Linked DNA regions of Kluyveromyces lactis. The protein of the gene in region 1 interacts with the protein of each later gene in a biochemical or structural test. Links are inferred from orthologs where the notes say so. Each region holds a gene or a part of one and is shown on either strand. Other genes may lie near its edges.

What was found.
Region 2: of the proteins of UME6 (region 1) and KLLA0_F17006g, one has a biochemical effect on the other in vitro, tested with the Saccharomyces cerevisiae proteins (2 studies listed by BioGRID). The link is inferred for Kluyveromyces lactis from reciprocal best matches to the Saccharomyces cerevisiae genes UME6 and RIM11.
Region 3: of the proteins of UME6 (region 1) and GCN5, one has a biochemical effect on the other in vitro, tested with the Saccharomyces cerevisiae proteins (2 studies listed by BioGRID). The link is inferred for Kluyveromyces lactis from reciprocal best matches to the Saccharomyces cerevisiae genes UME6 and GCN5.

Annotation. Positions count from the first base shown.
Region 1 is NC_006042.1:1,922,671-1,926,955, forward strand, and holds UME6 (DNA-binding transcriptional regulator UME6), read left to right. Parts: upstream 1-1,477; coding exon 1,478-3,841; downstream 3,842-4,285. Other genes in the region: KLLA0_F20658g (uncharacterized protein), read left to right, coding at 1-429. UniProt on the Saccharomyces cerevisiae protein: Component of the RPD3C(L) histone deacetylase complex (HDAC) responsible for the deacetylation of lysine residues on the N-terminal part of the core histones (H2A, H2B, H3 and H4).
Region 2 is NC_006042.1:1,561,315-1,564,607, forward strand, and holds KLLA0_F17006g (serine/threonine protein kinase RIM11), read right to left. Parts: upstream 1,793-3,293; coding exon 545-1,792; downstream 1-544. Other genes in the region: KLLA0_F17028g (uncharacterized protein), read right to left, coding at 2,593-3,111. UniProt on the Saccharomyces cerevisiae protein: Serine/threonine protein kinase that is thought to function in regulating kinetochore activity and entry into meiosis. Could phosphorylate IME1.
Region 3 is NC_006037.1:454,956-458,484, reverse strand, and holds GCN5 (histone acetyltransferase GCN5), read left to right. Parts: upstream 1-1,478; coding exon 1,479-3,029; downstream 3,030-3,529. Other genes in the region: ATG7 (Atg7p), read left to right, coding at 1-1,045; PUP2 (proteasome core particle subunit alpha 5), read right to left, coding at 3,274-3,529. UniProt on the Saccharomyces cerevisiae protein: Histone acetyltransferase that acetylates histone H2B to form H2BK11ac and H2BK16ac, histone H3 to form H3K9ac, H3K14ac, H3K18ac, H3K23ac, H3K27ac and H3K36ac, with a lower preference histone H4 to form H4K8ac and H4K16ac, and contributes to H2A.Z acetylation.

The DNA.
Region 1 (4,285 bases):
TGGTGTGCATTGATTTTAGCCTGGGAAGTTGTCGACATGAGAAGATCATTCTTCATGATGAACCCTGAAAGTGAAACACCATACACTCAAGTGTTCAAGGACATCTGGAGCAATCAATTCTTGTTTTGGTCCATTGTTGGTGGGTTCTGTTCCGTGTTCCCAGTGGTTTATATCCCAGTAATCAACGACAAAGTGTTCTTACATTACAATATCAGTTACGAATGGGGATTCGCAATCGGATTTAGTTTCGCATTCTGGGCAGGCGTTGAATTATACAAATATGGTAAGAGACATTACTTCGGCATCAAGGACAGAGTCGACAATCCAGAAAATGATTTAGAAAAGAGAGCAGTGCACGATCCGTTCGAACAATACACTACTTCCTTCTCCAGAATGAATACTTTTCACAACGACGAGAAGACTATCTGAAAGTTGAAAAGATGCAGGAATAAGCGGTGCTTTTTAATTATTTTTAATCTACAACTTATCTGGAACAAATGTATATTAGCAAATCCATATGATAAGTATCATCAATAATTTAATTTTTATAAATACCATACTACATTAACAAAAGTAGTTTATCTCACTTTAGATCGATTTTACTCTAGTTTCCCGTCAAAACTCTTTATATTTGGCCTGAATCGATTAAGACTTTGGGCCCAAAAGTTACTAAGCCGGAACAACTGATTATGACCGGGTAATACATGGTCTTTACTCTTTTCAAATCTTTTTCTCCCTTTCCAGCGTGTAAAATAGTTTCAAGACAATTTTCGTCAAGCGATACGCCCAATGGATAAGAAAAGTCAAAAACAGTCAAAAATTATTCCCACGGGTAATTAAAGAAACCCACCATCTTAGCGGGCTACATATGTAATCAGCTACTGTATAACAGCAGTGCACCTTACAAACTTCAGATATCCTACTAAAAACAAAAAACCGAGAAGCAAAGCAAGGTCAATGAGCTTGCTTAGATGGCTAGTACCATTGCCGTTCCCTTTTTTCTTCCCTTTTCTCCCTTCTGATTCGTTTTCTGCGCTTGTTTTCCTGTAGTTTTTCGCTCAAAAAAAGGCAAAAAAACGCCTAATTGAATCTCGTTCGAAAATCACATCCAAGGCGTTGTTTATTTATTTATATAAATCGAATTTTACAAATGTTTGATTTCTCTTACTTGTTTTAGTTTATTGTAATATACTCTACTTTATTTTTTTATTCTTTATGAATGCTTACATTCATTGAAACCGCGATCCTCTATGAATTGACAGGCTTCTGGTTCAATCTCTCTTACTAATTACGAACCCGCTCATTCCGTAGCTCCTGGCTTAATACCTGATTGTGTTTAGTTTCAAGAGTCTTATAAGGGGGTGAGGAGAGAATCGGTTTTTTTTTAACTCAAGAGTAACACAAACTCTTGGCGCTAAGCGCTGGCCTGAAACTTAGACTGAAGTTTTCTTCAAATATAAAAGAACCTTCGGAATAGATGGTTCGTCAGAAAAGTCAAATTGAGCGGCGTGCTGTGAACTCTGTTCGTTTATCCTCCTCTTCTCCGTTATCTTCCAAAATGCATGTGCCGGAGAAAAGTACCCCGCCAAGTTACCCTGACGAACATTCAAAAACAAACGCCGCCCAAGTGGAGCTAACCGCCCAGCGGGAAGTGACCAAAATTGATGAAAAACAAGAAAACGAAAAACAACAACGAGTGAAAACAGGTGAAAAACAAACGCTGCTGCGACATACACCAAGGCTCAACCCCTTGATACATTTAGCGATGTCTCCTACTGCTGCTCCGAATAATACGCCTGTGGAGGAAAACGATCTACAACAGGGTGTTATCTCTCCTTCACGTGGAGAGCCTTCCGGGATTCCAGGGACAAAGCCTCAAACCGAGGTTTTGCCGCCACTTCCTCGTTACGGAGAGACTAAGCAAGAGGAAAAGGAGGTTGCCGTGAAATTTGAGAAAAAAACGGGTACCCAAGACTTTGATCACGTGGTTTCGGCTGATAAACAACATGTTCCAAAAATAAATACGCGTACACCATCTATCTGTATATCCAGTAGCAATACGCTGCCGAACACTGGGAAAGGGAGTAGCACCTTATATCAAGACTCGCGCACTCCCGTGTATTTGTTCAACGATAGGATAGACTCTGGTCAAGTGAGTGAAACAGAAACACTTCACGATTCAAGAAAGGGCGAGGAAATTCAAGCTGATACTGGTAGTCATCAAAATGAACGCATGCTGCGACAAAGCGGACATAGACTCGAAGGCAAAAAGGGCAATGGCAGAAACATTGGTAATCCTGGAACTGTTTCACATGACGGTGCGAGCGGTATTGCTGCGCCTTCATCTTCGCCGATCCTTGAGACCTCGAGCGCTTCCCGTGATAGAGATCTGCATGCCACAGGAAGCGCCATGACTCCAAAAAGACTACATTTTGATTGTTCCACAGAGAAAATAGATCCGGGTGCAGGCATCTCATCAATTTCAGCTCAAAAGATCAATATTACTTCATTACTAAACTCGAGATCGACAGCAGAATCAATCTCGCCCCCTCCATCTACGGCAGGAAATGAATACACTATTCATTTCCCATCCTCAGCAGCGTCAAATCCTCCTCACTCCACAGGATCCTTCCTACATCCAAAATATCAAAATCAAAACCCGCAGGTCTCATCTACCATGAATAGAATTGTTTCTCCAACCTATATGTTCGAAACCGATCAGGTTCATGGTCCTTTCAGTAATTCTAGTAGTGGCAGTAATAGTAGTGGCAGTAATAACGGTAGCACAGCAAACAGTAATAACAATAATACACATATTACCTACCAACCGAAGTATTTCAACACAAAATTCGATGAGTTAAGGAATAGAGTGTTATTAGGATCCTCAAACGCTTTTCCGAAAGTAGAGTCGGCTAACAAGTATCCATATAATAGCACAATGGTCAACCCAACTTTGAATGATCAAGATTCCAACGTGGATGCGGAAGCTGCCGCAATCATTTCTCAGATGAGGTCTTCCCCATTACCCCCATTTAACGAACAGTTCGGCTCTGGCAATCATGATAGCCGACCGAATTCGTCATTATCAAACCAATCTCTCCAAAATAATGCCTTTAATCCGTTCTCCAAAAGACTTTTACCTAAGCCAGTGCTTCGGGTTAACCAACGACCATTGACTGGCAACCAGGATGAACTCGTTATAATGGAAGAAGAGGATGATGATGATGACGGGTATGGCGATGGTGATTACGAAATGACCGAAGGGGGATCAAAGGCACCAGAAACTGTTGCATGGAATAAGAATGGAAAAAGAAGATTGTCCAGAAGAAGATCAGGCCCACCACATTATCAATCTCAATTGACAGGAATTAAAAATGAGATTGGAGACCATCCAGATACTACGGCATACCCCGCTGCGGATATCTCGGAAAATGGTATGCATATAAAAAGATCAAGGTCTTCATCATTATCTACTGAACACACTGGATTATTGTCACCGAATTCCAAACATGCCAAACAACTGAAGTTTAAAGAATCTAATTACAATAATGATGTTTCTAACGAGCAAATGGTCAAATCAAGTGATCAAATAAAGAAAAGAAATGCTACGGGGGCACGGTCAAGAACTGGCTGCTGGATCTGTAGATTGCGTAAGAAGAAATGTACAGAAGAGAAACCGCAATGCCAGAACTGCGTGAGGTTGCACCTCGAATGCTTTTACGACATAGTAAAACCCGATTTTATTTCAGATCCTGCTAAAAAGGCAGCAAAACTCGAAGAAATTAAAAAGAAAACAAAAGAAGCTAAGAGACAAGCAATGAAAAAGAAGACTTGGTTATAATCAAAGAGACAATCATCTCTAAATTCTTCTCAGACACACATCTGTATCATCAGGTGTTCTCAGTTTTTTTACAATAATGGACAACCCCTCAAAACTCTATAGATACCATTTTTGACTGAACTTTTATGATTATGTTCACCTCCCAATATATAATATACTCAGATATATTTGCTGTAATAAATGTGTAGACTGACTTTAATATACAATGTATGAATTGTACGTATTTTAAGCACAAAGCTTAGGGAATAGTATGGAAATGATTTCAAAAGACAACGTAGTTCAATATTTAAACTTTATGCTGCTTTCAAAGGAGGATTGAGATGATATGAGGATCAACAAAATAAAATAAGATAAAATAAAAGAACATACAAAATATAGACACATACATTACAACCAAAATTTGGAATAATTAAGATAAAATTTAAAAAAGTGTCGTTTCAGTAA
Region 2 (3,293 bases), about 360 kb from region 1:
TGGACAAAAGGTAACAGTAGTTTTTAAGTACTCAATCGCACGCACGTCATGTGGCTCTTAATAGGTGAGTATTGATATTATTATGAACTGACAAGGTGAAATCCGGTATGAAAAAGGTAGGACGGAAGCTAGAAAGAAAAGTATTGCTATAAAAGGAAGAATTATGATGTCCAAGTGCCCTTTTCCTAGTGAGGAATAGGGAATGCTTAACATAAATAAAAAGAATCCACTGCCCAATATGAACACTATTAGGGACAGGATAGAACTATAGGTTTTCCGAAAGACATTGAAATGAACTTTAAAATTGAAGAGAAATATGATATGCAAAGGGGGGGAGCGTAGGATAGCATTGAACAACGGTGTTGCCTGCAACAAGTAGGCATATGAGAAGTAACTATTTGTATGCACATTAATTTCGTGTATTAATTTCATTTTCTTTGGATGTGCTGGGTAGAACGTTACATTAATGCATTTGTATTTGCATATTTCCTTCTCTCAACTAGTCTTTTTTTTTGTTTTTAGTTTTCCTTTTGTCTTGTCGGTTCTATATCAGTTTGCCAGTCAATCTATATATATCGTTAGATGACAACCCTTGTAATTCACTTTCCTCAAAATGTAGCAATGGTAAAGAATCGATCAACGAAAGGTTTGAGTCCGACCCGGTGTTGCTGACGATATCAGTGAAGTACGTCGAATTGAACATACATTGTAAAGCGCTGTATCTGATATTAGGATCATATTTCATGATATGGTATAATAAGTCTATAGTTTCCTGTGTTTCCTTCTTGAAGATCCTATTCAATGGGATCGGTCTGATCTGAGGGAACTTATGTTCGGAGTAGTTTTCATTCATGGAACAGATCTCTTCCCTGGTTGGTGTACCCAAAACTTTAATAATTTCAACCAATTGATCGATCTTAGATTCACCAGGGAAAATGGGTTGTCCTAATAGCAGTTCAGCCATAACACAACCTGCAGACCAAATATCAATCTTTGTTGTGTAATTGGTAGCACCAAAGATCAACTCTGGGGCTCTGTAGTAACGGGAGCAAATATATGACACATTGGGCTCGTTTGGTTTCAACTGTTTAGCAGACCCCAAATCACAGATTTTCAACAGTAAAGTATCTGGATCCACCAAAATATTCTGTGGTTTGATGTCTCTATGGCAGACATTGACCACTTGATGCAAATAGTTTAAAGATTTGAACAATTGGAACATGTAAATCTTGATTTCGTAACGATCCATTGGTTGATGCAAGGAAATGAACTCTTTGAGCCGTTGATAAAGAGACATGGGCATGTAATCTACAATCAAATTTAGATAAAGTTCTTGGTCCGATTGTTCAAGGAAATAGTACTTCAAATCGATCAAATTCGGATGACTGATCAATTTCATGATCTCCAGTTCTCTATTCTTAAACCGTCTATCCTGTAGAACCTTCTTAATGACAACATCCTCCCCAGTCTCTTTCACTTTTGTTCTGAAAACGACACCAAACGAACCATTTCCCACAATTTCAGGTGTGCCGCATGAAATAACAACTGACTCCTCGGGGTTGGAATGGCCTTTCACCACAGTCCTTCGGGTTATTACTTCGTCTTCATCTGGAACGATTTTAACATCATTACCATGACTGTTCTTACTATGAAGACTGCCTTGTTTTAAATCATCACTGGGTAAAATGGAATCCATCTCTGTCTCAAAACCAGCGTTTTTATCGTTAGTATATGCAATAATAGATCTTGAACCACCGGCACCGCTACTTTCGAGCAATTCACCAACTTTCATTCAAAAAAAAAAAGGAGTATTGTACTAAAACTATGCTGACATGCACACTTTTCTCTGAATCCTTTCTCTCTCACAACAGATAAGAAGTGATTGATCTGTCTGTGTGTGTTAATTGTTATATGCGAAGTCTTGTTCTTGGTGTTCTTTTTTTTTTACCTTAAATTTCACCAAATTTTCCAAAAACTTCAAACACGCAACGTCTTCTAAGACCAGTAAAATAAAATATTCAGCACACGCACTCACAAACACACGCGCACACCGATTCAAAATATTATGCGGGGGGGAGAGAATCAGGTTAAAAACAACAGTTTTATCGTCTTTCTTGTCTGGCTCAATGAAAAATTTTCCAATGTCCTCATGTCTTTCTCAAAGTTTTATTCAGACAATAAATACTAAGCGGAAAGAGTAAACTAAAACTGCTTGCAAATTGCTTTGTTAGTCCAGACATTTATTGTATCGAATCAGCTTACTGGAAAATTGAAGGAGAGAGAAATCGAAATAGTTTTTTTTTTTTTGCCTGAAAGCATGACTGGGTTGAGAGCCTTCCCTTGTATATGCGTAGAAAGCAAGAAAAGTGTTTTGTCTGACAGAATAATCTAGGAACTGACTAGCCAGACTACTGAACAGTTTGCCCCTTCGTAGTATTACTTAATAGGAAGAAGATTGCTTGTTCAAATAGTATAGTTTTTCCTGGAACCGGATGCCAGGGAAAAGTGGAAGTTCGTGAGTACTTCTCCGTTAGTCCGATCACATCCAGGAAACCAAGCAGGGAAGCCACTCAGGGGCCACCTAGGCAGGGATCAAGGACAAATGGAGCAAAGGGTGCCGATAGGGAAAGGGGGTCGGAAAAAAAGTTCCAAATTGAAAATTGTATACATACTTGTTACCCGACGTGATGGGGCGGCGTTATTGCCGGTAATTTGTTTGTGGGGCGGAACGGTAGACGAAGCTTTGGATGTCACGTGTTTAGCATTTTTGTCAGAGGAAGCCGTTGTTGTCGATGAAGACGACGGTGATGAAATGTCAGACGCAACGATGGATTCCATCGCTACATCATGTACCAATTTCAGTTCGTCTTCCAAACTGAGCTGTTTCACAACGAGCTCGACATCGAGCTCTTCTGTGTATCTGTCATGACAAGGTAGTGCACCGGCAGCTTTATCCTTGCTCTTGCTCTTGGCCTTGCCGTTCTGTCCAGTTTTCTTGTCGACAACAACTGGTACTTCGGCTACCACTTGTGGACCAGACTTGCGTCTGGTCCACGTGATGCCCTCAGGATTGTATGTTGGATGAATCTTATCTCTAATCTTTTTGAACATCTTTCGTCTGTATTGCTGGTGGTTACGACTGGTCGGGGTATGGCTTTTCTCGTTCTTGGTGAAGTCATCTAAACGATGGAGTTTATCAACCTCTGGTGTTATATACGCGTGAATTATTTACACAAATTTTTCATCACTACTGTAAATTCATTTATCAGACACAAATGTCGTGCAAGTAATAT
Region 3 (3,529 bases), on another chromosome or scaffold:
GAAAAATGGTCTTGGAAAATTAGCTCCGAAATCGGCTGACTTAAGCTCATTGATGGATCCCGTGAAGATAGCAGAACAATCCATTGATCTCAATCTCAAGCTAATGAAATGGAGGATTGCTCCTGACATTGATCTAGAAAGAATAAAGAACATTAAAGCATTGATCTTGGGGTCAGGTACCCTAGGTTGCTACGTGGCTAGAGCTTTATTAGCTTGGGGTACTCGTCATGTAACTTTTGTCGACAACAGCACTGTCTCTTTCTCTAATCCGGTAAGGCAACCATTATTCAACTTTGAAGATTGTGGGCGACCAAAGGCCGAAGCTGCCAGTGACTCTCTGAAGAAGATATTTCCTTCTGTCGTTTCTGCAGGTTATCAATTGGAAATACCAATGATAGGACATCCTGTATCGAACGAAAGCAAGCAGAGGAAGGATTATGAAATTTTGGACGAGCTTATAAGGACGCATGATGTTATATTTCTTTTAATGGATGCACGCGAGACGAGATGGCTTCCCTCGGTGCTTGGACGAATGCATGAAAAAATAGTTATTAATGCGGCCCTTGGTTTTGACAGTTATTTGGTAATGAGACATGGCAACAATAATGACAACCTGGGTTGCTATTTCTGTAACGATATCGTGGCCCCAAGTGATTCTCTAACTGACAGAACATTAGATCAGATGTGTACTGTAACTAGACCGGGTGTTGCCCTATTAGCGGCTTCCCAGGCTGTTGAATTATTGGTGACATATCTTCAGCCTTCGACGAACGTGCTTGGGTCAGCTCCGCATCAAATACGAGGATTTCTAAATGAATTTAAAACTGTAAAACTTGAAACACCGGCATATCAGCACTGTTGTGCAAGCAATGAAAATGTCATTTTAACTCTAAAGGAAAACGGATGGAATTTCGTGAAACAGGCGCTAGATGATTATAAGTGTGTGGAGCAATTAAGTGGACTGTCGAAGGTGCAAGAGGAGGCTGAATTGGCAATTCAAGAAGATATTTCCTTTGATGACGACGAGGAATTGTCAATAGAGTGAAGTATAGCCAGTGCATCTGACAGGCTGATGCGTGGAATGATGTGACATGCATTCCTTTTGTGATGAAGCGTAGAAATCGATATTCGTCGTTAGGAAAAGGTGTTTATCTCTGATTTAACGGTCAGGATGAAATTTAGTTTTATAATTCCCAAGATAAATATAAGTCTTGCACAATTTGCAGCGTATTACGCCATGACGGGCTTGGTACACCTACATAACTGGGCCTTTTTCCGTGATCCATCAGCTTATACCAGGCATGTTTTAGATGTAGACTAAACTCGTTATCCGACTGTGGTGTACGGATGTATAAATCAACTTGAAAAATTACCAAAGCATACAAGAACGGGAATATATATTAGGTCGAGTAGACAGGATAAATAGTCACACGTAGACAAGATAAATAGTCACACGTAGACAAGAAGCTAAGCACCAAATGCCACCGAAGAGACGCCACCATGGTGCTGGAAGAGTCCAGAATAAGAGGGGAAAAGTTGACACTGTAAAAGAGGAAATCAAACCCAAAGATGAGCCTGTGGAAACTGAAATCGATGGCGGATCTGCAGTTGATGAAGATGTTACCGATGATTTAGAACACAAGACGAGCAAGGAAGACCAGAAGGAAGACCAGAAGGAAGAGGACGGACCTATAGATGCACAGAACGGAACTTCTGAAACAAAAGTTGCGGGGGAATCCGTAAAAACAGTGGAAGACAAAATCGAATCAGTTACAACGAATGAAGAGGTCGTTGAATCACCAGTCAATGACTACAATGCCAGTAGTACAACTACCAAGGCTGAAGAGAAACAATTAGAGGAAGAAGCAAATGAAAAGACGGATACATCTCCTATAGTTGAAAATGAGGTCGTTGATGAAGAGGCCGGCACAACAAAATTTGACTTTGATGGTCAAGAATACAGTTATAAAGACAGACCTAGTGTAATAGAAGAGAAGGAAGGAAAGATTGAATTCAGAGTGGTTAATAATGATAATAGCAAGGAAAATATGATGGTTTTAACAGGGTTAAAGAATATCTTTCAAAAGCAATTGCCTAAGATGCCCAAAGAATATATTGCTCGTTTAGTTTACGATCGTTCACATCTTTCTATGGCCGTGGTACGGAAACCGTTGACTGTTGTTGGTGGAATAACCTATAGACCTTTTGATAAAAGAGAGTTCGCAGAAATTGTCTTCTGTGCTATTAGTTCGACCGAACAAGTCAGAGGTTACGGTGCACATTTAATGAATCATTTAAAAGATTACGTGAGGGCAACATCGCCAATAAAGTATTTTCTAACATATGCGGATAATTATGCTATCGGGTATTTCAAGAAGCAGGGATTCACGAAAGAGATCACATTGGACAAGAATGTCTGGATGGGATACATAAAGGATTATGAAGGTGGTACCTTAATGCAATGTTCCATGCTGCCAAGAATCCGGTATCTTGATGCAGCAAAAATCCTCTTATTGCAAGAAGCAGCAATTAGAAGGAAAATTCGTAGCATTTCTCAATCTCACATAGTTCGTCCAGGTTTGAAACAGTTCTTGGATCTTGATAATATAAAACCCATCGATCCAATGACAATACCTGGTTTAAAAGAAGCTGGCTGGACTCCAGAAATGGACGAACTGGCGCAGAGACCAAAACGTGGCCCTCATTATGCAGCAATGCAAAATCTTCTCACCGAATTGCAAAATCATGCAGCGGCATGGCCCTTTTTGCAACCCGTCAATAAGGAAGAAGTCCCCGACTATTACGAATTTATTAAGGAACCAATGGATTTGAGTTCTATGGAAATGAAACTAAACGGGAACAGATACGAAAAGATGGAAAATTTCATATATGATGCAAGGTTAATATTTAACAATTGTCGTGCGTACAACGGTGAAAACACATCTTATTTCAAGTACGCAAATCGTCTAGAAAAATTCTTCAATTCTAAAGTCAAAGAGATTCCAGAGTATTCACATCTTGTGGATTAATACTAACGATAATGAAATACTAATTTGTCGATATCTTTGCGTACCTGAACAGTCTACATGGCGAAAGTTGGCACATATATATATGATATGTATAAATATACATATACCGAAAGTGTAACATTAAAAGGCTCAGAAGGAGCTCCTGTATGTATACAAGCAATCCATGATTAGAGAAATAATGAAATTTTATAATCGATTTTCTGTTGATTAATAACGTGTTTCGAAAGACAAGGAGTGTAATCTATCACTCCATTTCGACATCCGAATGTTCGGACCCAGGAGGCTTCTCCTCCTTTTCCTTTTCCTTTAACTCTTTTATAATTTCAGCAGTTTTCTCATCTGAATAGATTTGAAATCCCTCTTTTGTGATACTGCTCAATTGTGCATTATTTTCATCTAATTTCTCTTCCATTACTTGCTTTAAGATCTTTAACACCAGCGATTCCGCCTCTTTCAAAGTAAGCGATGAATGCCATTCGTTTTGTAATTCTGATTGTGCA